Drosophila melanogaster: one gene and its partners. The protein of the gene in region 2 interacts with the protein of the main gene of each other region in a pairwise test. Each region holds a gene or a part of one and is shown on either strand. Other genes may lie near its edges. The genes, in order: Obsc, CG6287, CG5149 and Lac.

Region 1 (4,821 bases), on a different chromosome or scaffold from region 2:
CCACCGTGTGCTAAACGTATTTATTGAATATATTGTACTGGTTTCAGTGCTTCTGGGCCTTGGGAGCTTGCTTTGAAGTGGTCCTAGCACTGGTTGTGTATCCCTATTACGGATGGCGAGGTCTCTTGGCCCTTTCGGCTACACCCCTACTCATTTTTACCATCCTATCGCCGGTTCGTATTCCTCGCTCTCTTCAGAAATATCCTTAATCAAATGTATCTTTAAATCACTACAGTGGCTCAGTGAATCGGCTCGCTATTACTCTTACAACGGTCACAATGATAAGGCCATCAAGGTTCTGGAACAGGTGAGTGGTAACTTTATGGAGTGATTATACGTCTAAAAACCTACGATTGTAGATAGCTCACAACAACAAGCGCCACATGCTGATGGGTCGGCTGATGGCCGACGACGAGCCCAGTTGCGCGGAGAGCTTTAGATCCCTGCTCAGCCCGAGCCTGTACAGGACCACCATCCTGTTGTGGTTCCTCTGGCTGGCCTCGGCCTTTTGCTACTACGGCCTGGTGCTGGTCACGACCGAGCTGCTGGTGGCCAGGAACAAGGAGAGCCATCCCAATGAGTGCGTCACCTTCATGACCTCCGACTTTATGGACCTGCTGTGGATCACCCTGTCCGAGTTTCCTGGAATACTGCTGACCATCAAGGTGGTCAAGCTGTTTGGCAAGAAGAAAACCATTGTTCTGCAGTACCTGGCGCTGGTTCTGTGCACTCTGGTGCTGATGTCGGTGGAAAGGTAGTAGTGGTGCACACTCAATTGATCATCTGATAATCAATCCAATCCTCCTCCAATCCTAGTCGCTTCTCCACTTCCGTAACCCTCTTCATTGCACGCGGCACGATATCCGGCATCTTCCAGGCCATTTATGTGTACACTCCGGAAATATACCCAGCTGCCTTGAGATCCGTCGGAGTTTCGGGCTGTTCCGTGCTGGCCAGACTCGGCGCCATGCTGACCCCTTTCGTGGCGCAGGTGCTGATGGACTCGTCCAGAATTCAGGCCATGTCCACGTACGCAATCGTGGGCCTGCTGGCCTCCATAGCCTGCGTCTTTCTGCCCAGGGAAACTGTTGGCTACCACTGAGTGCACTGATTACCATAACTTATTATCTATAACTACTATTAAACCCATTAGTCCCTAGAAGCTGTGTGAATGTTTCATTCGGATTGCCTAGTTTTAGGCTTAGCGGGCTAGTAGTAATCTAAAAAGTCTAGAATAGATTAAGATGCTTCTAACAAGTAACAAAGCTCCTAAAGGGAAAGCTCTAGTCTAGCATTGGCATAAATACTCAGTTGAAGGAGGTGTTACTACTAACTACCCGTTTGTGTTGGTCTAATTGGTGACTAATCTCAACTTTGTAGGCCAATTTCCTCTTATTTATGATTACATTGCTGACAGGTGACAGGAGGAAGTGCAGTTGCAAATTAATTAAACAAGCCAATATTTCTGACCATAAACATTGCGAATAACGTATGGGATCGTATAAATAACTTCGTGCCCGCGCATATATTATAATACTTAATTAAATATGTATGCTGGCGCACTCTGGGTGCCGAAATCTATATGCACTCCTCTGACAGCCATAAACTTTCAGACCGTCCGCTCTGTTCGGCATCTAAGCACATGGCTATGCACATGCAGATGCAGATGCAGATGCAAATGCAGATGCAAATGCAAATGCATTTGCAGATACTGATGGGGATGCGGATGGCGAGTGCGAGGTGCATGGGCATGGGCATTATTTTTAAATTGTGAAACGATGTTCGAGGGGAGCTTTTGTTGTGATCGGCGAATATCGATCAGTCGTACAGTTGTCGGGATGCAGTTAGAATCATTGGTATCCGCACGCAGTAGCCAATATTTCTCACGCGACCGCAGTTTAAATTTAAATCTATTCCACTTTTGAATCGGCCTGGCCCGCGGAAAGGCGGAAAATTCCTCGACTTTTTCAGTTATGACAAGCGAACTCGAGAGTGCCCCGTAGACTAGTCTTCGTAGTTTTCGATACTGGGCTAATGCCGATAATGCCTTAAATCCAGTGCAAATCCAGTGCATTGAAAATTCGAAACGAAATCGCCCCAGTAATAAGTTATGCAATACATTTTCGAATTCGTGCCAATGTGCGTGAGTTAATCAAGTGTGTGAAGTCGAGTTAATCGAGTGATACAAAGTCTTAATATTCAAATCAGCCGGAATGGATGCCGTAAGTTATGCGTGTCCGGAAAATACACTATAGATCGGTCTCTATGAACATGTGCCAAATTTACTTATTAATACTTCTGGGCAAACCAGATGTACATATGTACATACATTGTGTGAGCAAAAGCTACAGTGGACGTCCTTGCTAGGAAATAGCACTTAGTCAATGGTTTTTTCCAACTGCAAAATGTGAATGTAAACTGGTTAACCAGCTAGTGACGAATAAAAGTGCAATTTTATTTAGTTTAGTTTGAGTGCTTCAAGATGATGATACTAGTGACCTTAAAACCGAAGGACCCTAATAGTATCTTATACTCGGTGCACAGATATTTTCCTCTCGAAAGTGAAAGCCACCTCTGACGCGAAGTGGGTTAGGATCCATCTTGTGGTTCCACTGTGGTTCCACTGTGGTCTCGGATCATTGGCCCGAAGTGAAGAGCCCTGTTCGAGGGAACAAATCGGGGGATCAGCTGATTCGGCTGCACAAGCTTTGCACTCAGTAAAATTGGACATCGGAATAAATAGCCGAGCCCGCGTGTCTATGTCAACGCAAAATAGACTTTCAGCTAGCGGGCTAAATATTGCTCAGCCACTTTTGTTTGTGAAATAGCGAAGTCGAACGCGTCAAAAGATCAAATCGATATCGCACCAATTGCATAAACCCTAAAAAAACTCACAGATCTATAACGATCTATTTGGGATATATGTACATATATTTTTGTGTTGAAGTATCGAAATGGGTGATAGAAATGTGTGTGTGAACCAAGAGAGTAGCTATAGAAAAGAAAGTTCGTACTTAAGATATCGGTTCTACCCAGCAGGTGGCGGATATCGTGTTTGTGAGTCGGGACTACCAGGCTCAGTCGCTGGCCACGGACGAGATCAGCGTTTCTCGCGGGGATCTGGTCGAACTGATAAGTTCGAAGGCATCCGAAAAGTCAAGGTGAGCGATTGAGTTCATCGAGAAGTGGTATGGTACTCTAGTGCAGTGAGTTTTCCAGATGCTTTGTGCGAATGTTCGATAGCGGGGACTCCCCCAAGGAAGGCTGGGTGCCCATCGATATACTAGAGTTCAATCCCACCATGAGCAGTTCGAATGGCAAGGAGAGCGGCGATGCGGAGTTTAGGAAACTGTAAGGACTTCAACTCACTCCATCCAGTTGGACAGATAGATACTAGTTGTAATGGCCGTTGTAGAACCATTCTCAGGGAGCTGGTGGAAACTGAGGAGGAGTTCTCCAGGGATCTGCTCCACGTGGTGGAGAAGTACATCAAGGGCATCGACAAGCCGGTGGTGCCGCGCTCCGTGCGGGACAACAAGGATATCATATTCTGCAATTTCCTGCAAATCGCCGAGTTTCACAACAAGTAAGAAGCGAATGGGGTGAACTGGAGTACACGAAGTTAACACTTGGATTTTCAGCGTGCTGAAGGAGGGCCTCAAGTGCTACAGCAACCAGCCGAATATGGTGGCCAAGACCTTCCTGCGCCTGGAGCGGGACTTCGACAAGCATGTGGTGTACTGCCAGAACGAACCATTGGCCCAGGACTACCTGGGCTCCAGTCCCGATGCCAAGAAGTACTTTCAAGTGAGTATCCCGGGCAGTCGAGCGTATCCAGATTGCTTTCCCATTTCATTCTGCCATGTCGAATGCCGCACCAATGCCCCCGACTATTGCAATTGTGGGCAGAAATCAAAAGCAATTGAGAATTGAATAAACTGCGAGGCTGAGTAAGTGTGGAATCGTCTTCGAATATTATGCGTGTGCTGTGTGCGAGAATCGGTTTATTTTTAAAGGCAGACGCTTTCGAATCCAAAGCTTTTGCAGTTTTCAGTTGCTTCCGAGTAGTGTTCGCGGTCGTGTCGTGCTAATTACTCATATACGTAACCGTTTCGCCTAAGGTACTTCAAGTTTGTCCCCTCTGACTGGACCCATCTCCATGTAGTCCTCCCACTTTTAAATCTGAGATAAATGCGGATAACGCACCCCCCCCCCCCCACACCATTCAGTGAAATCCTGGCCACTGTGCGAGGCCATTCGGTTGAATCCACCTGACGTGATGGAACTCCACAGCCGATCAATCGAGTTGCTGGAAAAAATATCAATTTCGAATCGATCCGTGAATACTTGTGACTTTTCGCCCGTTATGCAACATTTCCGAAATTTTACTGTGCGAGAGTGTATTTATTAAAAGATACGCCAATACGTATACATTTATAAATATATGCATGCGAACAATTTTTCCTCAGCCCACATATTTCGACCTCAGATCTAAAAGTGTTTAAATATGTATATACTGGCGAAAATATTGTAACATTGACTTTAATGAAATTCGTTTCGAAATTGGTTCAGCAGTGAATATTCGTGGTTGATGAATACGAGCATATGAATATGAAATGAGCACTCAGCTCATTCATTCTCGCAGAGTGAATAAAAAACGAACAAACATTTCAGTAGCAGTATTCATTATATACACACATAGCCTTCCAAAGCGAAGTACAAGCACACATACATATGTACATATAGACAATCATTCACCGACGCACGCACACGTATCCGTTTTTGCAACAAGTGATAAATTTTTAAACATCGTTCCAAAAA
Region 2 (6,555 bases):
TATTTGCCAATATCTTCCTCATTTCCAGGGAAAAAGAATTCACAGTTCCATATACATTTTTGTCCATTATATGAGCTCCCATTGTGTGATTCTGTTGCAGAATTTATGAATTTCTTCTTTAAATGGAGCGCTTTTCCATTAAGCTGCTGCAATTGAATCAGAATAAGTATCATACTACTGGTCTCTTTTAAATTTGTTAAATTGTTTAAGAATATCAAGTGGTGCCTTTGCCATAAATGAACTTTCACCTGGCAATGTTGGTTCAGTTGAACGTATTCGCACATGCTGAAGATTATGACACACAAAAGTTGGCAGGAAAGTTCACTGAAACTCCGCTTTTCCTTGAATGGCTATATGTAAAATCAACATTAAACTTGCTTTCTGGTAAAAGCCTTGATTTTTTTTTATCAAAATACAAAACGGTAGTACGAAATTCGGAAAACAAGTCAGCTTTCGTCTAAGTCCTTGTAGCATTTCGATACCTTGAAATGGTAACTTTCTAGGAATAATAATATACATATATAAATATTTAGATCTGAGAGTATTTTAAGAAAACTCTTCTTCTTTTTATTTTTACTTGTGTATTTTGGTTTTTACGTTGTTTACATCCCTGGTTGTAAACTTATTTATTTATAAATGCTGAATATCGAATTTAGAATGTGCTGATGGTTGTGAATATTCGATTTGCTTCACTGGTAATGGGCGAGTGCCTCCTTGTTAATAACGCCCGCATAACTGGTGTACTTCGGCGAGGTTCCATTGAGGGCGATGAACTGCTCCGCCACCTCCACGGCAACACGGACCTGCGCCTCCGAAGTGCTCGCGCCCAGATGCGGCGTGGCCACCACCTTGGGATGACTGATGAGGGCCTTGGTGACCGCAGACTTTGGCGGCTCCTCGGGATAAACGTCGAAGGCCGCGCCGGCCACTTTTCCGCTCTCAAGGCCATCGAGCACGGCCTGCTCGTCGATGATGCCGCCCCGGGCCACATTCACCACCTTAACGCCCTGTTTGCACTTGGCCAGTGTCTCCGCCGATATGAGATCTGATGGGATTCAGCAAAGAAATCTATATAGTTTAGCTTGAATTTTATGCATACTGCTGTTAAATGTTAATCTCTTAATCTCTTATAAATATTCTATCAATGCGCGACTTACTTCTGGTGGCTGGGATCAGCGGCGTGTGCACGGTTATGTAGTCCGCCAGTGGCCAAATCTCCTCCAGCGTCATCTTCTCGATGCCCGCCGCCTTGGCCTCAGCCTCCGTGGTGATGGGATCGTAACCAATAATCTGCAAAGCACTCAGAGTTCGATTAAAATTCCAAAATAAGTAAATACCCCATTCAAAACACACCCGCATGCCCCAGGTCTTCATCCGAATGGCGACCTCGCGTCCAATGCGTCCCAATCCGAGAACGGCCAGGGTTTTTCCATACAGCTCTGTGCCGGCATAGAGCTTCCTGTCCCAGCGACCCTCCTTCATGCTCTGACCGGCGGGGACGACGGGACGGGCCAGGGAGCCAATTAGGATGCACGTCAGCTCACAGGCCGAAATGGAATTGCCACCCGGAGTGCTGAAAGCGACGAGAGTTTAGTTAAACATTCCCTAAATGCCTCGCTAGACACTAGCTGTTGCGCTAAGTTGAGCGTTTCTGGTGGGCAAATGGGTGGCGTTTGTTGTGACTAGACAGCATTATGCAAATTCCGCCAAAAAAGAATTGAATGGGAGGTGGGAAATATGGCAATTTTCCAGCTTTCCAGGACATCTGACATGGATGTGGCCAACCCAGCACCCACCACCCACAACCCATAGCCACCCAAACACCCACGCAACTCCATCGACACTCGTCGTCCCTTAATTATGCGTGTCAAACGGCGTCAATTGACCCAAGTCATGGGTATTCTGGGCTGGGATGGCATATCAACTGCCAATCCTGCGATTCGGAATGCGCATAATTATTTGTGAGCTGCGCCATCGGAGATTACACTACGCTGCATACCATAAAACACTGCTAGTTTGAATACCCATGTTTATGATCATTATTGAGATTACCACAATTTTACTGAACAGTAATATTTCCTCGCAATTGATAAATCTGCCATAAAGGGCTACATAAATTCATTTCCGAGAACAACTAATTAATATTTTCGTTCCATAAATTAGAAACTGTTTAAAAATGCAAATAAATGAAATCGGAGCCGAAAATGGATTGAATTGTTTACCAACTTGAACTATAAACAGAATGGTAAAATATCCATGAAATATATTGCATGGCAAGAGCTCTAATTAACCATAAATAAGTACTTTGTACTGTTTGTACTTTCTATATCAGACTTTCAGCTACAAATACAAGTTGGTCTTGTGGCATAGTGTTCGTGGCTACTCTTTTCCCGCCCTGCAATGCACCGGAGGCTTACGGAGCACTTACTTCAGGACAACGACATTTTGCGCTGTGGCTGCGGGAACATCGATGTTGTCAACACCCGCCCCCGCACGGCCAACGACCTTCAGGCTGCCGGATCCGGCGGCCAAAACTTCCGCGGTTATTTTGGTATCCGAACGAACGATGGCTGCGTCGAAATTCTGAAATGCGGTGTAATTTAATAATTAGCAACTGGGTAAATATAAATATTTGTCATCTAATTGCCTAACTCATTTCCCTGGCCATCTGGATGGCATCGATTACTGCTTTCTTCTGGAAACGTGATTGATACCACCTAACACCTGTACTTTATCATAAATAAAAGCAATTCGTCTGGCGTATGTATGTTTCTGGCTAAGATTATTGAACCTCTTGATATTTTCCGGCAATTTGTGATCCTACTGGAAACAATTTATTTAATGTTGAGGCAACATCGTCTGATCGGCCGTTTGATTGATAAGAACTATTGGACCGATAGTAATAAATGGTGATAACAATGTCTGGCCCAATTGTTCACAGCAGATTATTGCCATTTAAAAGGAATAGTTTTTTTTATTTTGTAGAATAAAATCTGAAAGTGCATTTCGAAAAGTGGTTTAAAATGCTGGGCAGTTTAAAATGAACAATAGAGAATAATATAGTCGAGATACTCGACTAGCAGATACCCGTTATTTGGTTTGTGGGAGTGCGAACGAGCGAAATTACAAAAATTCTTTGGTATATCGATAGAAATTGTCAAAATTGTGGGCGTGGTAGTTTGCGTTCAGACGGGCGGACAGAAGGACGGACATACCGACTTGGCCAATGAATCTAATCAATAATATATATATAATACTTTATATGCTTTCCTGCTACCTGTTACATAAATTTCAAAGAATCTAACGGGTATAAAAACCATTTGGTTCAGACTAAATTCTTTTTCTCTCTGCGAACGTGAAAAAAAATTTGTTGTCAAGTACTTATTTTCTGACCCTTGCAATTTGCTTTTATGTTATTCAATAAAATCACCAATTAAAAGTATCCGTCTCTAAATCAAATAAAATTCAAAACATGCATTCGTGCCCATACAGACATGAAGCGGTTTAACTAATTGAGACAAACATGCTTGTCAAAATTTAAAGCTGTTTTCGTGCAAGAGAAAACAAATTTAAATAAATTATGAGAGTAATTGATTTTGATTTGAAGAAGCCACAAAATGTTTTTTTCTAGTTTTTGTTTATTTTATCTTTATAACTGCGGTGAAAATATTCTCTTAGCCATTAACCCAATAAGGCTTAAAGTTTGGAGACAAGGAAAATAAGATTTGTAAAAACATTCTATATTCCATAACAAAGATGATAATGTTAAAAAAAGGGGTCAATTCCTTATCATTAGTTTTAATTTTGTTAAATACAATCTCCATACTGCAGTAGTTTTGAAATATACTTTCGGTTTGATGTGCTTAGATTGCTTAGTTACAGACTAATTGAAATGTTATTATTATGTAACGCCCACGCGTACTATCATATATGTACACACACATATACAATGCACCCATATCTCAGAGCGTTGCACATGTTTTTAACCACACTTGAATCATTCGCAAAGCTTTCATCCCAGCGACTTAACTCGTTCATATACATCTGAACGTGTGTATGTATTTACTTATTTACCTGTACTGAAATCCCTAAGCCACTTACCTTAACTTCCTGACACAGTTCCTCCACGGGGAGCTTTAGTTTGTAGGTAACCTTGTCAAAAAAAAAGAAGGAAAATATATGGTCAACAACGTTGATTAAATTGTGCAATAAATTAAATGCACTTATTTTCTATTTGTCCACTTCTAAGCGCTTTTACATGCTTGCAAATTCACATACAGTGTGTACTCGATAAGTAAAAGCAATCGAATAGCTTAATTTAAATGAATTGCATTGTAGGCATAGACTTTCAAATATTTAATATCTTTTTAGTGTTAGTTTTCGTCGAAAAAACATTTTTTGTGTGGTTATACTTAGTTTAATTATTTGTATTTTTATCCGAGGGCGCACTGTACTTTTGAGCACTTGTATGGGTGTAAGCTTTTGCTTACTCCAACAAATAATCGACTGTCACGTCAGGGGATTGGCGAACCTTACCTTAATCCCATGCTGTTCCAGCAGCTCCACGCAGGATTTGTCCACAGCATCGCAGACCAGCACTTTTCTTATATTGAGGGGCATATTTGGGTGGGTAATGAATACACTGAAAAATCTGGACAACCGGTAGATTGCGTTAATTTTTGCCAATTACTTTCCGCAACTCACGATCTGCGCCGCCGAGCAAACAAATTGAACTGACTTCGAGAGTGGGTTTCTCGGGCCATCGAACCTGACTTCGAATGCCTCTCGCCGGTGCAGTGCGATTGTTGTTTTTTCTGGGTGATAACCAAACCACTGAGAGGATCGGAGAGCGCCACTTGGATCTTAAAGTTCTCTCCTTCTTCTCGCGCGATTTGTTCTTCTTGAGTGTGCGTGTGTGAGTTGTTTTCGATTTTTGCACGCAAAACAACAATTTTAACCCACGGACGACCCTGTGATTAAAAATGATTTAAAAATTTCAGCTTTTGTAAAAAAATATGGCAAGCTTTCTAACTTTAATTGTATTATGCATTTATTTACTTTCTAATAGGGTTCAAAAAAAAGTACTTACCCATATAATCAAACTCACGCCGAATAGATAAGACTGCATTTATTTTTAATATTTTTATTGTATTTGCTTTTATTTGCAATTTAGCTTTCATTTAACTACGTATTTTCCAAAAACATATTGTGAACAACATTTGAATGCGGAAAATGAAAACGAAAACAACAAAATGTCGTCAAGGTGATGGCAGGTATTCATCCTTAACATTAAATTAAAGGAATCTTACAAAGTTGTTAACAAAATAATTAGGTAACAAATTGAAATATCATTAACTATTTACATACAATTTTTGAAAATTGCTGATTGGATTTTAGTTACCGTTTTTCTCATTTTTTACAATATGTATATGTTTTGTATGTATAAAATATTCTATATAAATTGGGAGCGGTGTTGATATTTCCACCAATAGTTCATTTTTATCTTTCCAGGGTATTCGGTGTGGGGATCTTTGGTTAATAATATATTGATTACGGAAATTTCATGCGTGCTCTTGTCAAATTTTCCACCTTCTATTCCAGTTCAATAAGTTATTTAGGCTAAAAAAATAAGGTTTGCTTTTCTTATTTAAGTGGCTTTGAAAAGTAGAGAAGTTATTACCGCTAAATTTAATTATATATAGGCGTATCTTTAAAGTTTCAGTATGCTTGCTATAAAACTTGTTTGTATGTTTGTGTTTTTTTTTTATAGTTTTCAAGAGTGTCAACAAATCGAAATTGCTTGGTTTGGTTTTCATTTGTTTTATTATAATCGGAAATAAGAGTTTATTATTACAAAAAAATTGCTATACTTTTGAAGCAAACCAGTTTTACTTCTTTGCAGACCTCTGTCCGTCTGCTAGAAGGTTATGTAATGGAATATATGAATTTATCAAGTTTAGTTTTCGAAAACTTTCAAAGAACTTGAGTTGAGAAATTTAAGGCATCTTACAAAATATCTTCAACATATTCCTATCAGATCTGATGAAATTTTCATGGCAAAGTTCACCTTTCCGTTACCAGAAAGTATCTAACAATATCTGGGATAATCAGTTATTTTTTAATCAATATTATTTTAATTAGTTTTTGGATTTCACGCTTACAAAATGCCGGCTGATGTATCTTTATCGGTTTAAATTTTGTTAATTATGGCAAGAACATACATACATATTTATATATGCAGCTCTATAAATGTGTGTATCTTTTTTAATATATACCATTATAATATATTGAATTACCAGTTCTGTGAATTATGTGCAATATTCTAACATACACACTTCTCATCAACTGACCATTTAAACTTAAGTTTTCCGCTTGTCCCCTTCTTAGCTGCAAAGGATCGTATCTAGTTTTGTTTTTAACTTTATGCTAGTATTAAAAAGTAATATTTCATTTAGGTTTAGCTAATACATAGATCATTTTGCTTTGCCACTTTTTACAAGAAGTGCTTGTGTATCGTTTGCTGCGTTCCGTTATATATTTAAATTTCAATTTGTT
Region 3 (6,065 bases), 3.8 Mb from region 2:
CCGGTACCAAGACGATGAGGGCTATAATTCATCATCGGGAAACTATGGTGTGTCTAGGAAGTTTGGCCAGCAGCAGAGGGCTCCGACCTTGAGACAATCTCCAGCCAGCGTGGGTCGCAGCTTCGAAGATAGCAATGCTAGATCCTTCGAGGAGGCAGGATCCTATGTAGAAGAGGAGATTGCACCTGGAATCACTCTTTCAGGCTATGCCGTCGATATCTAAAACTAGTGATTAAGAGTAAAAATATTAAAATTAATTGTTATGCAAACCATAAGACAATTTAGCTAAAACCCACCTAAAATTCCAAAATAATGATTGAAGTTTTCTTCATCACTTTCTCAAAAACGTTTCACACAATGGAATAAATAAAATGTCTTGGGATAAATCGTTATTTAAATTTTCACTTTTTTCTTACCGCATTTCATTTTTCTATCTCTATAAACCACTTAATTATTTAGGTTATTTGTAGGTAAATGCTACCTTGGCATACTCAAACATTTAACTTTAAAGACATTGATATAAATTCAGCAATTAATTTGCATTTTATTGACGTAGGATAAAAATGGGAAAAATTCGACGAATTAACATTGCTTATTATGCTTGCTTCTTTGTTACATCATTTAAATGATTTACTTTTCTCACTTTAAGATCTAAAACGCAACAACAATACTCTCAGTATTTCATAAACTATATCCATTATACATTGTATATATAAACATTAATACCTAAACAAAAACGTTTATAGGAATGGATTGAACAAATACTCTTTTGTTCGCAGGACTTTTTTTGTGTGTTCGATAGGGATTGCAAAAAAGCTAAGGAAACTGAATTGAATCATTAACTGCACACCCATATCGGGCATGGTCTCACAAATTCTCGATGATAAAACAAAACTTTTTCCTTAAATAGTTTCACATAATATCAATCATCCATGTTGGGCTCACGCAATCCATCCGAGTGCATTTTCTTGCCCGCAATTTCCAACATGGCCCGATCTTCCAAATTGCCATCCAGCACAGAACGTTTCTATGGGTTAAAGATATGATTATTTATTTAATATAATATTGAGTTTAATTTGACATACGTGACCGTCGCCTTCTTCGTCTTCTTCTTTAACTGGTAAGTCTCCTACGGCCCAAACTTCCATGTTTCGTATTTTGAACTGTTTCCGTTTACTTGGGTACGATAAATAATTGGTAGATTAACCACAATTGTTTAAAATAATGTTGAATTAAAATATAGAATCTAGTGGTCTGTAAGGTGAAACATAATCAAGATTTTAATTTACACTCACCTCAACTGCACGTAGTCTCGATATGTAGTGCAACTTTCAACGCTTTGTCCATCGCCGAAACTGCAGTCAATCCAAAGGCCCCAAAAATCAAACTGACCGCCCATGCCCTGTATACGAAAAATATAAACATTTAGCAAAGCAATCAATCAATTAGCTATAAACATTACTCACCAGGCCATTCGGCATAGTCTGCTGATTCAAATTCAAATACTGATAGTGATTGTTATAAGTTGTGGCCGAAAAGCACCGCATGGCAGGGCTTAAGGTGTAGAGCAATGAGCTGTCATCGCCTCCAAATTGCGGTTTCACGGACCACGTTTCGGACGCGTAGCCGCCAAATATATATTGATCCTCGTCCTCAATAAAGAACAGCGTTGGTCCTTTGTCCAGCACTTTTCCCAACATCGTCGAGAAGCTTTCCCCGTTGATTTTCGATGAGAATAGAAAGCGCCATTTGTGCCGATGTTCGCGGGGCAGCTGAGCATTGATATACAGGACGTGAGGTAGTTCGATGATAGGGCGATAATGACTATTTTGCGGAGCATCTGGAAAATAGGAAAAAAGTTATAAACGATTTTAATAAATTTAAAAATTTTCTTTGTCCTACCACACAGTGCTGGCAGAATTGGAATTTCCATTTCCTTGATTATGTTGCGTTTGCTGCCACCATGGCGACAATACAGCTGGCTAAAGACCTCGCGCCAAATCTGCAAAAACTGCGGAGTGACGTGTAACCAACGTTCCAGGGCATCGTTGGGCATAGTGTGCTCTAGCTCCTTGCCCAGATTTCTCATAAGGCCCTTGGCAAATGTGGCGGCGGACCTTTCCGTGGTGTTAAAGCCAAGATCGTGCCACTCCTTGATGCCAGAGTTTTTCGCTGTACTTTCCAAGTGCACGTAGCTCTTGATCACCGAGTAGATATACTGGGGAATTATAAAATTGATTAATTCGCGAGCAAAAGATAAAAGAATTAAATAAACAAGTTGTTCATATGACAGCTAAGAAAATAAACGTGGAAATCTAGTTTTCAGGATAAACATAAATGGAGAGCTAAACCTAATTCAATAACAAACATGTTATGAATCCTAATGAGGCTCGGCTGACAGAAGTTATAAATATTATTTCCGCGATCTGATGACAATGACTACTTATTTATAGACTCACTTGCTCCAATTGCTTGCTGTTGAAGGTGTCATTTCCACTTCTCTCCATTGAGCCCAGGAGCATTTGCATTTTCTGGTCAATAGTACCGCGTTCCATGATGTAGTAGGGCTCTCCAAATTTCTTCAGCTGAAGGTTGACACATTGCTGACCTGGCTTCGTGGGCGTAAATAGATACTGAGCCGTACTTTCGGCCAGGGATCTTTCGATGGTTTGCGACCAAGTTTCCTATTTTCGAAACAAAACAACAGATACATGTATATGTGTGTACATAAACAAAATGCGCGCCGGATACGTAAACATAATTTTCCCGCTGCTGTCAGCAAATTCTTGCAGGGAACGAAGGTCTGGGAAGCGCTGACACAGATTAACCCATTGAAGGACGTACAATGAATAATAATTTGGTTTGACTGAAAACAAAGTCTCTCAAGTTTTATGAAAATAAATACTACTTCAATGTATGTAAAGTTTCAATTTAGAGAGTTTCCGCTTAAATTACTCTATATGAATGCAAGTCTTATAATTTCCTCATTCTAAAAATCAACTATTTCACATGCCATGCTGTAAACGGGTTAAGCATATGGTTTATTTTTAATTCAATTGGGTTTGGCCCTAATTGACGACCCCAGTCATTGAAATCACGACTAATTCGTTAGCAAGCAAATTCAACAAAGCAAAAGACAAACAGTGAAATGCGGCAGCAAACAAATTAGACAAATTATGGACACGTTCGCACTGGCCCAGGAATTATCAATTCGAAACTGATAACGCCCGAGTTGAAGATATCGAATTTTGCTATACCCTAGGAAGCGCTGTGATAATCAAACACGAGCTATAAATAGATGGAAATATTATAAGGAAAAATCATCATCTGGTTACAAACAAACATTTTTTGAGTGGTTGCATTTCCGTCATCTGTGCTGTGATAAAAATAAAACACAAATCTGGGGCCTTGAACCCGCATCGGAAAAATTATAGCATAAATTGTGTATGATCAGATTGATTTAACTAAATGGGTTAAAATAACAATTTTGGAAAGTTACGTGTACATTTAATCTAAATAGGACTGACTAGTTTAGAAAATTACATTTTTAAACAAGTTGAATAATTTACTTTTTATAAACTCTGTTAAATTTCCTGGTTTGCACTTTAAATCGAAAAAGAACTGTATTAAAATAAGGTTTAGAAACTTTGAACTTTTGTATAATGCCGGATAATGTTGCGACTCACTCTCTTATATAACTAAGCTTCTTTTTCGGAACATAGTACTATGATTAACTTCAATGTTTAATCCTCGAAATAGGAGTTAGTGACAACAACAAATTAATGCCCTAAAGGATATACCCATTCAAGTGAAGGGTGGCCATCGCAGCAGGTGGATGGACGGCCGTTTGTCATGCACTCGAAAGTCCCGATTTCTCTTTTTTTGCCGAAGAAAGTTCACTCCGCGCGTCCTTGAACTTGTGACCCTGACCCTTCCGCAAATGCAGAATGCAGTTGCCATTGATTTTCGCAGTGCACACGTGGCACGGTAACTGGATTTACTTGACTTACCACCAATCTGTCTTGGGTCAACTTCTCAAGTGCTCCGCCAGAGGCGTTTTTGTACGCGGATTCCAGCATGCGTAGCTCTTCCGAATTGTAGAGATTATCCGTCTCCCGCTTGCCACTCGCATTTCCCATCTCAGGACACGAAATTCAGTTGGCTGGTGCTACGACGGCTGGTAAACAAACAATGCAGCTGCAGCTGCGGATGATCGCGGATTTTAATTGAAAATAAAAAACAAACAACACAAGCTGGTGATGGAATGGCAGTCGATTTCCCTGCGATACCCTCGATAGTTTCGGAAACGGGTAAATTTCGCGGTGGTCGTCTGCACTATGAATGGTTATTGTCTGTGCTAAGTCAGGTCGATGTATTTGCTAAACGGTTAATTTTAACCGCTAAGCGAATTCAACGAAGGCCAAGCGAATAAAATAAATTTTAAATGCCTTGGATAGCTGTAGTTAAAAATTTATTAAAATAAAAAAAAACTTACAAGTTTGAGCTAAGATACCTTTGCCCTAGCCCGGTATTTTTGAAATTATCTCAGTTACCTTAGCAACACGCCTTATTAAATCAATTGCCTGGCCTAATAAAGTTCTCCCACACAAAAACACAATAAATTCCGATACAAAACTGAAGAAAGCTGGCATACCGACAGATATTTCCGGAATACGATTGGCCAAATCTGTGAGTAATCCAACGCGAAAGGATGATTGGCACTAGCAGCGGAACGTCCCACAATCGGAGTCGAAAGAAGAAAGAACAGTGCGGATCCTGTCCCAACAGATTCTCAAAGGATAAGCGCCAGGTGGCCGCCGAGGACTCGGATACCACGGAGGTGGAATCGTCTACGGATGAGGAGGAACGCTGGAAGGAAGTGGCGCGAGCCGCTGAGATTCCGGCTGACTATTATAATATCCAAAAACTGGTGAAATACATCAAGGCGGGCAATCAGACAGCCACTATAGTATCGTTGTGCTGCTTGAAGGACTACGATCTGAGCACCCAGATCAATCAGTTCGCCATCTCGGACATCGGCGGACTCGATGTCTTGGTTAACATCCTGGAGTGCAGCGACACCAAGTGCTGTTTGGGCGCCCTCAAAGTTCTCTCAGATATCACACTGAACATCGATATTAGGAAGACCATCGTAGATCTGGATGGCATTCCCCTCATTGTGGACATCCTAAACTCTTCCATGAAGGACCTAAAAACCATGGCCGCCGAGACATTGGCCAATGTGTGCAAGGTGCGACTGGCCAGAAAGTATGTGCGCACCTGCGGAGGAATCCCCAAGCTGGTGGATCTCATCGACATCAAGTTGAGGTGAGTTGGCATTGGATAAAGTGCTTCATACTACATCACCACATATAAGAAATAATTAAAAAAAAACCTAATTATATTATAGCATTCTAAAGACGCCTCGTGACCAATTGAGTCCAGATGATCTGGAATCTCTCGATATGACACGCGCTGGAGCCCGGGCTCTTTTCACTCTGGCCGATTCCAAGCACAACATGGAGCAGATGCGCAAGAGCGGAATTGTTCCTTTGATGGCTCAGCTCCTTAAGTCCTGTCACATCGATGTCGTCATTCCCATAATGGGCACCGTTCGAAAGTGCTCCTCGGAGCCGAAGTTCCAACTGGCCATCACCACCGAGGGCATGATTCCCGACATTGTGAGCCATCTGAGTTCCGAAAATACCGAGCTGAAGATGGAGGGCAGTACAGCGATCTACAAGTGCGCCTTCGACGGAACCACCAGGGATTTGGTGAGGGAGGCTGGGGGCTTGGAACCTTTGGTAACTATCATAAAGGACAAGAATGTGAGGGAAAATAAGCCTTTATTGAGAGGCGCCACTGGAGCGATTTGGATGTGTGCCGTAACCGATGCAAATGTCAAAGTGCTGGATCAACTCAGGACGGTGAACCACCTGGTGGCCTTGCTAAATGATGAGTGTGACGAGGTCCTGACCAACGTGACCGGAGCTATATCTGAATGTGTGAGATTTCAAAGCAATAGGGAGCAACTGCGTCAGGCTGGAGGATTACCAGCAATGGTT
Region 4 (4,979 bases), on a different chromosome or scaffold from region 2:
CCGAGCAATACGAATGGTGGGAAGGGGAGGAGGTGTGGTGTTACCCAGGGTTGTGGGCCTGGGAGATTCTTTTGCAGGGGGCGCAGCCCATTTGCCATGCTCTCAGGATCCCTTTGTTTGCGTATGTTTGCTGTTTACTCGTTCCACCTCTGAGTTTCATTTTTCAGCTTTTTCATTTTTCATTTTTTTATACCACCCAAAAGCCCAGACCGTGTCTGATGTGTAAGAAACAGCCCTCTGCCGCAACGTTTTTGCACGGGTTGTTTGCCCGGAGTCGCAGAGTCGCAGAGTCGCAGATGAGGAGACCCGGAGACCATCAAACGGTCCGTGGAACGTTTTCAAGTTGCGGAAGCAATTGCGCGTGCTGAAGTTGTCGAATGCCTCAGAAACTCGAATGGGAATGGAAATGCGAAACGTGAAAAGCGGCACAAAGGCTGTGCAGTCGGAGCTCCTCGTCACGCCCACCTCTGTGTACACCTCTATGTCCTCGATGGCCTCGGAACTGCAACTCCCCCAACGACGATAGCCCTTGGAAAACATTTGACTCGGCTCGTTGGCGCATTTCAAAGCGCTGCTGGACGTGAAACTGTGCTGTTTGCCTAAGCGCTTTAAATTAGAGCGTGGAAAAGTGTGAAACTCCTGGCAAATACTGGACCTCAAACCCGGAGCCCTTTGATTTATGGCGGAATAAAGTTAAGCCATTCCTGGCCAGCCGTGGAGCGTATCCAACTGGTTGCGGTTGGGTTTTATAGCTTGTAACGCGGGGCACGCCTGGTTTTTATTTCATCATTTTTTTGTTTTGAACCCACAGAAGGAGCCCTCAATGCCGTGGCAATTAAAGATTGCACAAGCCGAAGCTGATAGCTGATAGATACAAAGCCCCGGGAATTAAGCTGGCTATCGGATGTAACGAAGCCCAGGTAGGGTGTGTCCGCGAGTCGGTTCTGGGTAATGAGTAACTCTCGGATTAGTTACACTAATTGCTTTCCAAATGACGCTGCAATCTTGTTAAGGACAGCCATTATGTTTTGCCCGAGGGTCGGAGTTCAGGTAAAGATCGCATCGAGATCGCTATGGAACAGCAGCACCTGTATGGGATTAACCTAGCGAGAAGATTCTATTGTTCCATCTACCTGGGCACCAAATTACTTTAGTGTTTTATTAGCTTTTCTCTTCCTTTCGAGAATTTCTGGATGGACAAGTAAACGCAAACAATTTGTAGATAGCATTTGCACTTGTCCGAAACGGAGTTTCCCGAGAAATATGGACCGTTTTCTTGGAATGGGAGGAACATAAAGAAGGTGAAGAAAAATAAATTTATTATTTCTGGCATGTACATATATAACCCCCCCATTTGGGTTTTTCCAAACTCGTCAAGTGTATGGATAAGAAATTTCATTTTGCGCAAATATCGATGATACATTATTCTAATAATCAAAAGAACATGTATTTATACAAAAGCCAAATATCATACATATGTACGTGCTGATTTCTTCAAAAGTAATGAATAATAAAATGGATTTAGAAAGAGAGAAGCTAGAATTGAGTTCCTTGCTAAGTTAAATAACAATCAAACTTTTTCGCACAACTTAATGTATTCTTGAGCTAACAAACTTGCTAGAAATTAGATTTTCCCTTGTTATTTGGTTAGACCTCTTTGCGAAACAATCTTCTAAGGCCCAACAAGGTAAACAAAGGGTAGCATGTGTATGTTTTCGAACGACAGAAGTTGGAAAACGGCCTAAAATGAAAAATCAATCTGCTGTTGCGAAACTCAGCCCTCGAAACAGGTGGGGGGTGGCAGGGCAGGGCTAGACCCCGTTTACCAGAACAGCCAGCCCAAGCCGAGTAAACAAAACTGAAAAACTAAGGTGACGCCTGAGTGAGTCACGGTCACTCACACTGGAGCCCAGAGCATCGAGCCCAGTTAAAAGCCCCCATTCCCAGCCATCCCAGCTAAAACCTAATGCCAAAGCGGGACGGACAGAGCTACCTGACCAGAGAGCGGGAGCCAAGAGAACGGAGAGAGAGAGAGAGCGAAGAGGGAGAGAGAGAAGTGGAGAACGCGCCCCACCAAACGAAAGCTGACTTAGCCAGCGTACCCAGCGTAACCCAAGATAATCACCCACAAATAAATGAAGAAACTCACCAGTTGGCAGAATGGCATTGTTCTCGCGCCTCCAGGTGATGGTGGGTGTGGGATAGCCGCTGGCGTAGCACTCCATCTGGACCTCGCTGCCCTCGCTGGCCACCACCGACTGCGTGGAGTTGTCCGAGATGACGGGGGGACGGCGCACCGATAGCTTCACTTCGGCGCTCACTTTGTGAACGGTGGAGATCACCACCTGGCAGGTGTAGGTGCCCGCGTCCGTCTCCTGAATGTCCTTGATCTGCAGCTTGTAGGTGGACGAGTTGGGATCGTACCGCAGCGAGAAGCGCGAATCCTTGATGACCAGCGTGGAGCCCGTGGAGAGGAAGACGGGATCGCTGTCCGTCTTCAGGAACAGCACGTTGTACTCTTTGGCATACTGGACGGAGCAATCGAACTCCACTGTGCCGCCGATATCCTTGATCTGCTCCTGCGTGATGTAGGATATGGTCGGGGTTCGCTGTGCTAGCGTTTGCTGCACAAAAATGGCCAGGAGCAGGGTGCTCCACACGCAATTCGAGATACTCGGCCGCCACATCTTAGAAATTGACTTTTAGCACCACACCCTGCAAGCGCGCGATTTAATATATGTAGTGTTTCTCAAGAGCTGCGCTCCAAGATCTCAATCTTCTCCAAATAGGGTGAGAGCGCGGCGAAGACGTCTCCAAGAAACCGAAGACAACTATTGCCGTTTCTTTCTTGAGCACAGCAAACGCGGATGCTGAACTGCAGTCTCCACACTTGTCTTCTCGCTCAGAGCTGGTTTCAGACTTCTTCTCTCGATCAGTCACGAGTTTTGGCCAAGACGGAGATAACGCGCCGGAGAGACAACTTCACAGTTCGAAAGTCGCGAAACGAATGAATCTCTGGCTTTGAAAAGTGCGCCATCAAGAGCGCAACTTGCCTGGAGATGGGCACCTTGAATGTGCCTAAATAAAGACAGTAGTGTTATCGGTATGCAACATAGCTCAGACTCAAACCAGAGATAGCATATGGTTGATATACTAAGTGGAGACACACACTCGAAAATCAGATGGCAACGCCATTCCTCTTGGAACCAATGGCATCCTCAAATTAATTTGAAATTTAAAATGAAATTTCAAGCTAGTAACTTCATTTCAAAATAAAAACGTTCATTCTTTGTGATTGTTTAAAATGCCTTTTTATTTAATTTTCTCTTTCTTGTTATTTTATTCAGTAGTTATGTATAAGTTCTATAAATGTCGGATTTTCTCTATATCGTGCTCTATGCCGTTACGATTATATGGTATAACTTTTTTGTATGAATGCATATTATAAATGGATAATATATAAATCGTGTTTAGTTTTTCGTTTTAGTGTTCAACATTGGGCTTCTCTTTCATGTGATTCAAATAGTTGTTGGCTTTATCGTATCTCAAAGTGTATAATGTATATATATATATAATGTAGAGCATTTAGAATTTGATTTTAGGTTCTCAACAAGTTGCTAGTTATTAAGTACATAATATGTCAATGTCTATATCGTATTTGTATTACGCATTACGTGATTTGATTTTCCATTTGTTAAGTTTCTTGGTAATAAATATCCGCTGACGGGGGCGCTTACACAATCTAAAAGCCAATTACGAATCGCGGAAACCTAAAATTAAAACACCATACCTCTTATTGCCCTTTAGCAGTACGATCGTAAAAGTTTCAACGAGATTCAATGGTTTTGCGACTTCGAAGAGCAGTGCAACTGCAAGTCTTTTTTATCAGCTATATTCATATCTTTTGCTTCAGTAAAATAATCATATAGATGCATATATCCGTTTACATATCTGTGTTTTCTGTGTAGATAGCAATCTTCAAAGTATAAATTATAATGATTAAGGTAGTGTAGGCTACGGCTCAGTAAAATAATCAATAAATAAATTGCTCTAAGTCAACGTATGAGTTAAGGTAAGGTAGAAAGCTAAGCGAGAATTCGTCTTCATCCATCCAGCTGCCTCTGGAGATTCCCAGTCCTGCGGTTTCCACTGGTAGCCAGTTCTTAGTTCTTCTGCGAATTAAGACTCCATTGTGCAAACTGCTCCTGCCATTGGCTATTCGCATTTGCCTGTGGAAACATAGAAATCTGTATTAAAATAAGTCATCGAAGCCTCATGTTTTCTCTTTAATCGTACTCAAGATCTTTGGCATGCAAGGCAATTGGAAAGTAGCAATCACTACACTAGCTACAGGATATATAGATATATATTCGAATTATGTTTCGGATATCGAGTGCATGTACAGAGAGAAATAGATAAATAAGGATAGACAACGGCAAAGAACAACATCTAGATCAACAGTGAGCAGGATTTCATGGCGAAATCCTTTACCTTTTCATTCCACTCTTGGTTATACGATTGAGATTCGTCGAAATCTGAAATTGATCAAGTTTGCGGTGAGCATATGTATTATCGGTATCATGGCTCAAATCAAAATCAGACAATTTATTCGAATCCTTTGAGTCAAGCAGCCAACGTGAATCAAATCTAGAGACTAACTAGGATGAGCTGACTGAGATTGATTGATATATATATAGAGAGAGAGAGAGACGGTTGAGAGTGCAGCAATGATGATGAGCTATGTTGTAGAACTATAGAAGTAACTATAGATAGAGCCCCGACTGGAAACTACCTGAGGTGGAGTGGAAGTTCGTGAGTCGAGCGAGCTACGATGGTCTATACTGTAGAGGCAGCAGTAGATTTTGCATATTTTACCTGATCACAGAGTATATATATAACCTACGACGAACACTTTATATATTCAGACTATACTTCATGATATAAGCATGCATGATCAGCTGCAGTTCATCGATTGTCTC

What was found.
Region 1: the proteins of CG6287 (region 2) and Obsc interact in a two-hybrid assay, tested with the Drosophila melanogaster proteins (one large-scale study listed by BioGRID).
Region 3: the proteins of CG6287 (region 2) and CG5149 interact in a two-hybrid assay, tested with the Drosophila melanogaster proteins (one large-scale study listed by BioGRID).
Region 4: the proteins of CG6287 (region 2) and Lac interact in a two-hybrid assay, tested with the Drosophila melanogaster proteins (one large-scale study listed by BioGRID).

The regions. Positions count from the first base shown.
Region 1 is NT_033778.4:24,011,254-24,016,074, reverse strand, and holds the start of Obsc (obscurin), read left to right. Parts: upstream 1-1,820; 5' UTR 1,821-2,213; coding exon 2,214-2,222; intron 2,223-3,036; coding exon of another isoform or gene 3,037-3,039; coding exon 3,040-3,161; intron 3,162-3,219; coding exon 3,220-3,351; intron 3,352-3,415; coding exon 3,416-3,586; intron 3,587-3,641; coding exon 3,642-3,807; intron 3,808-4,052; exon of another isoform or gene 4,053-4,121; intron 4,122-4,821. Other genes in the region: CG4324 (uncharacterized protein), read left to right, coding at 48-173, 236-307, 360-754, 817-1,102. UniProt on the Drosophila melanogaster protein: Structural component of the muscle M line which is involved in assembly and organization of sarcomere.
Region 2 is NT_033779.5:11,150,982-11,157,536, forward strand, and holds CG6287 (uncharacterized protein), read right to left. Parts: upstream 4,741-6,555; 5' UTR 4,621-4,740; coding exon 4,537-4,620; intron 4,153-4,536; coding exon 4,102-4,152; intron 2,584-4,101; coding exon 2,429-2,583; intron 1,574-2,428; coding exon 1,354-1,573; intron 1,291-1,353; coding exon 1,158-1,290; intron 1,046-1,157; coding exon 690-1,045; 3' UTR 525-689; downstream 1-524.
Region 3 is NT_033779.5:7,383,965-7,390,029, forward strand, and holds CG5149 (uncharacterized protein), read right to left. Parts: upstream 4,290-6,065; 5' UTR 4,140-4,289; coding exon 4,011-4,139; intron 2,685-4,010; coding exon 2,460-2,684; intron 2,219-2,459; coding exon 1,903-2,218; intron 1,841-1,902; coding exon 1,467-1,840; intron 1,403-1,466; coding exon 1,296-1,402; intron 1,177-1,295; coding exon 1,086-1,176; intron 1,028-1,085; coding exon 923-1,027; 3' UTR 522-922; downstream 1-521. Other genes in the region: ninaC (neither inactivation nor afterpotential C), read left to right, coding at 1-223; gudu, read left to right, coding at 4,712-5,328, 5,411-6,065.
Region 4 is NT_033778.4:12,451,225-12,456,203, reverse strand, and holds the start of Lac (lachesin), read right to left. Parts: upstream 3,015-4,979; 5' UTR 2,688-3,014; coding exon 2,150-2,687; intron 1-2,149. Other genes in the region: Dyb (dystrobrevin), read right to left, coding at 4,914-4,979. UniProt on the Drosophila melanogaster protein: Required for normal tracheal development and maintenance of the trans-epithelial diffusion barrier. Functions as a homophilic cell-adhesion molecule. May play a role in early neuronal differentiation and axon outgrowth.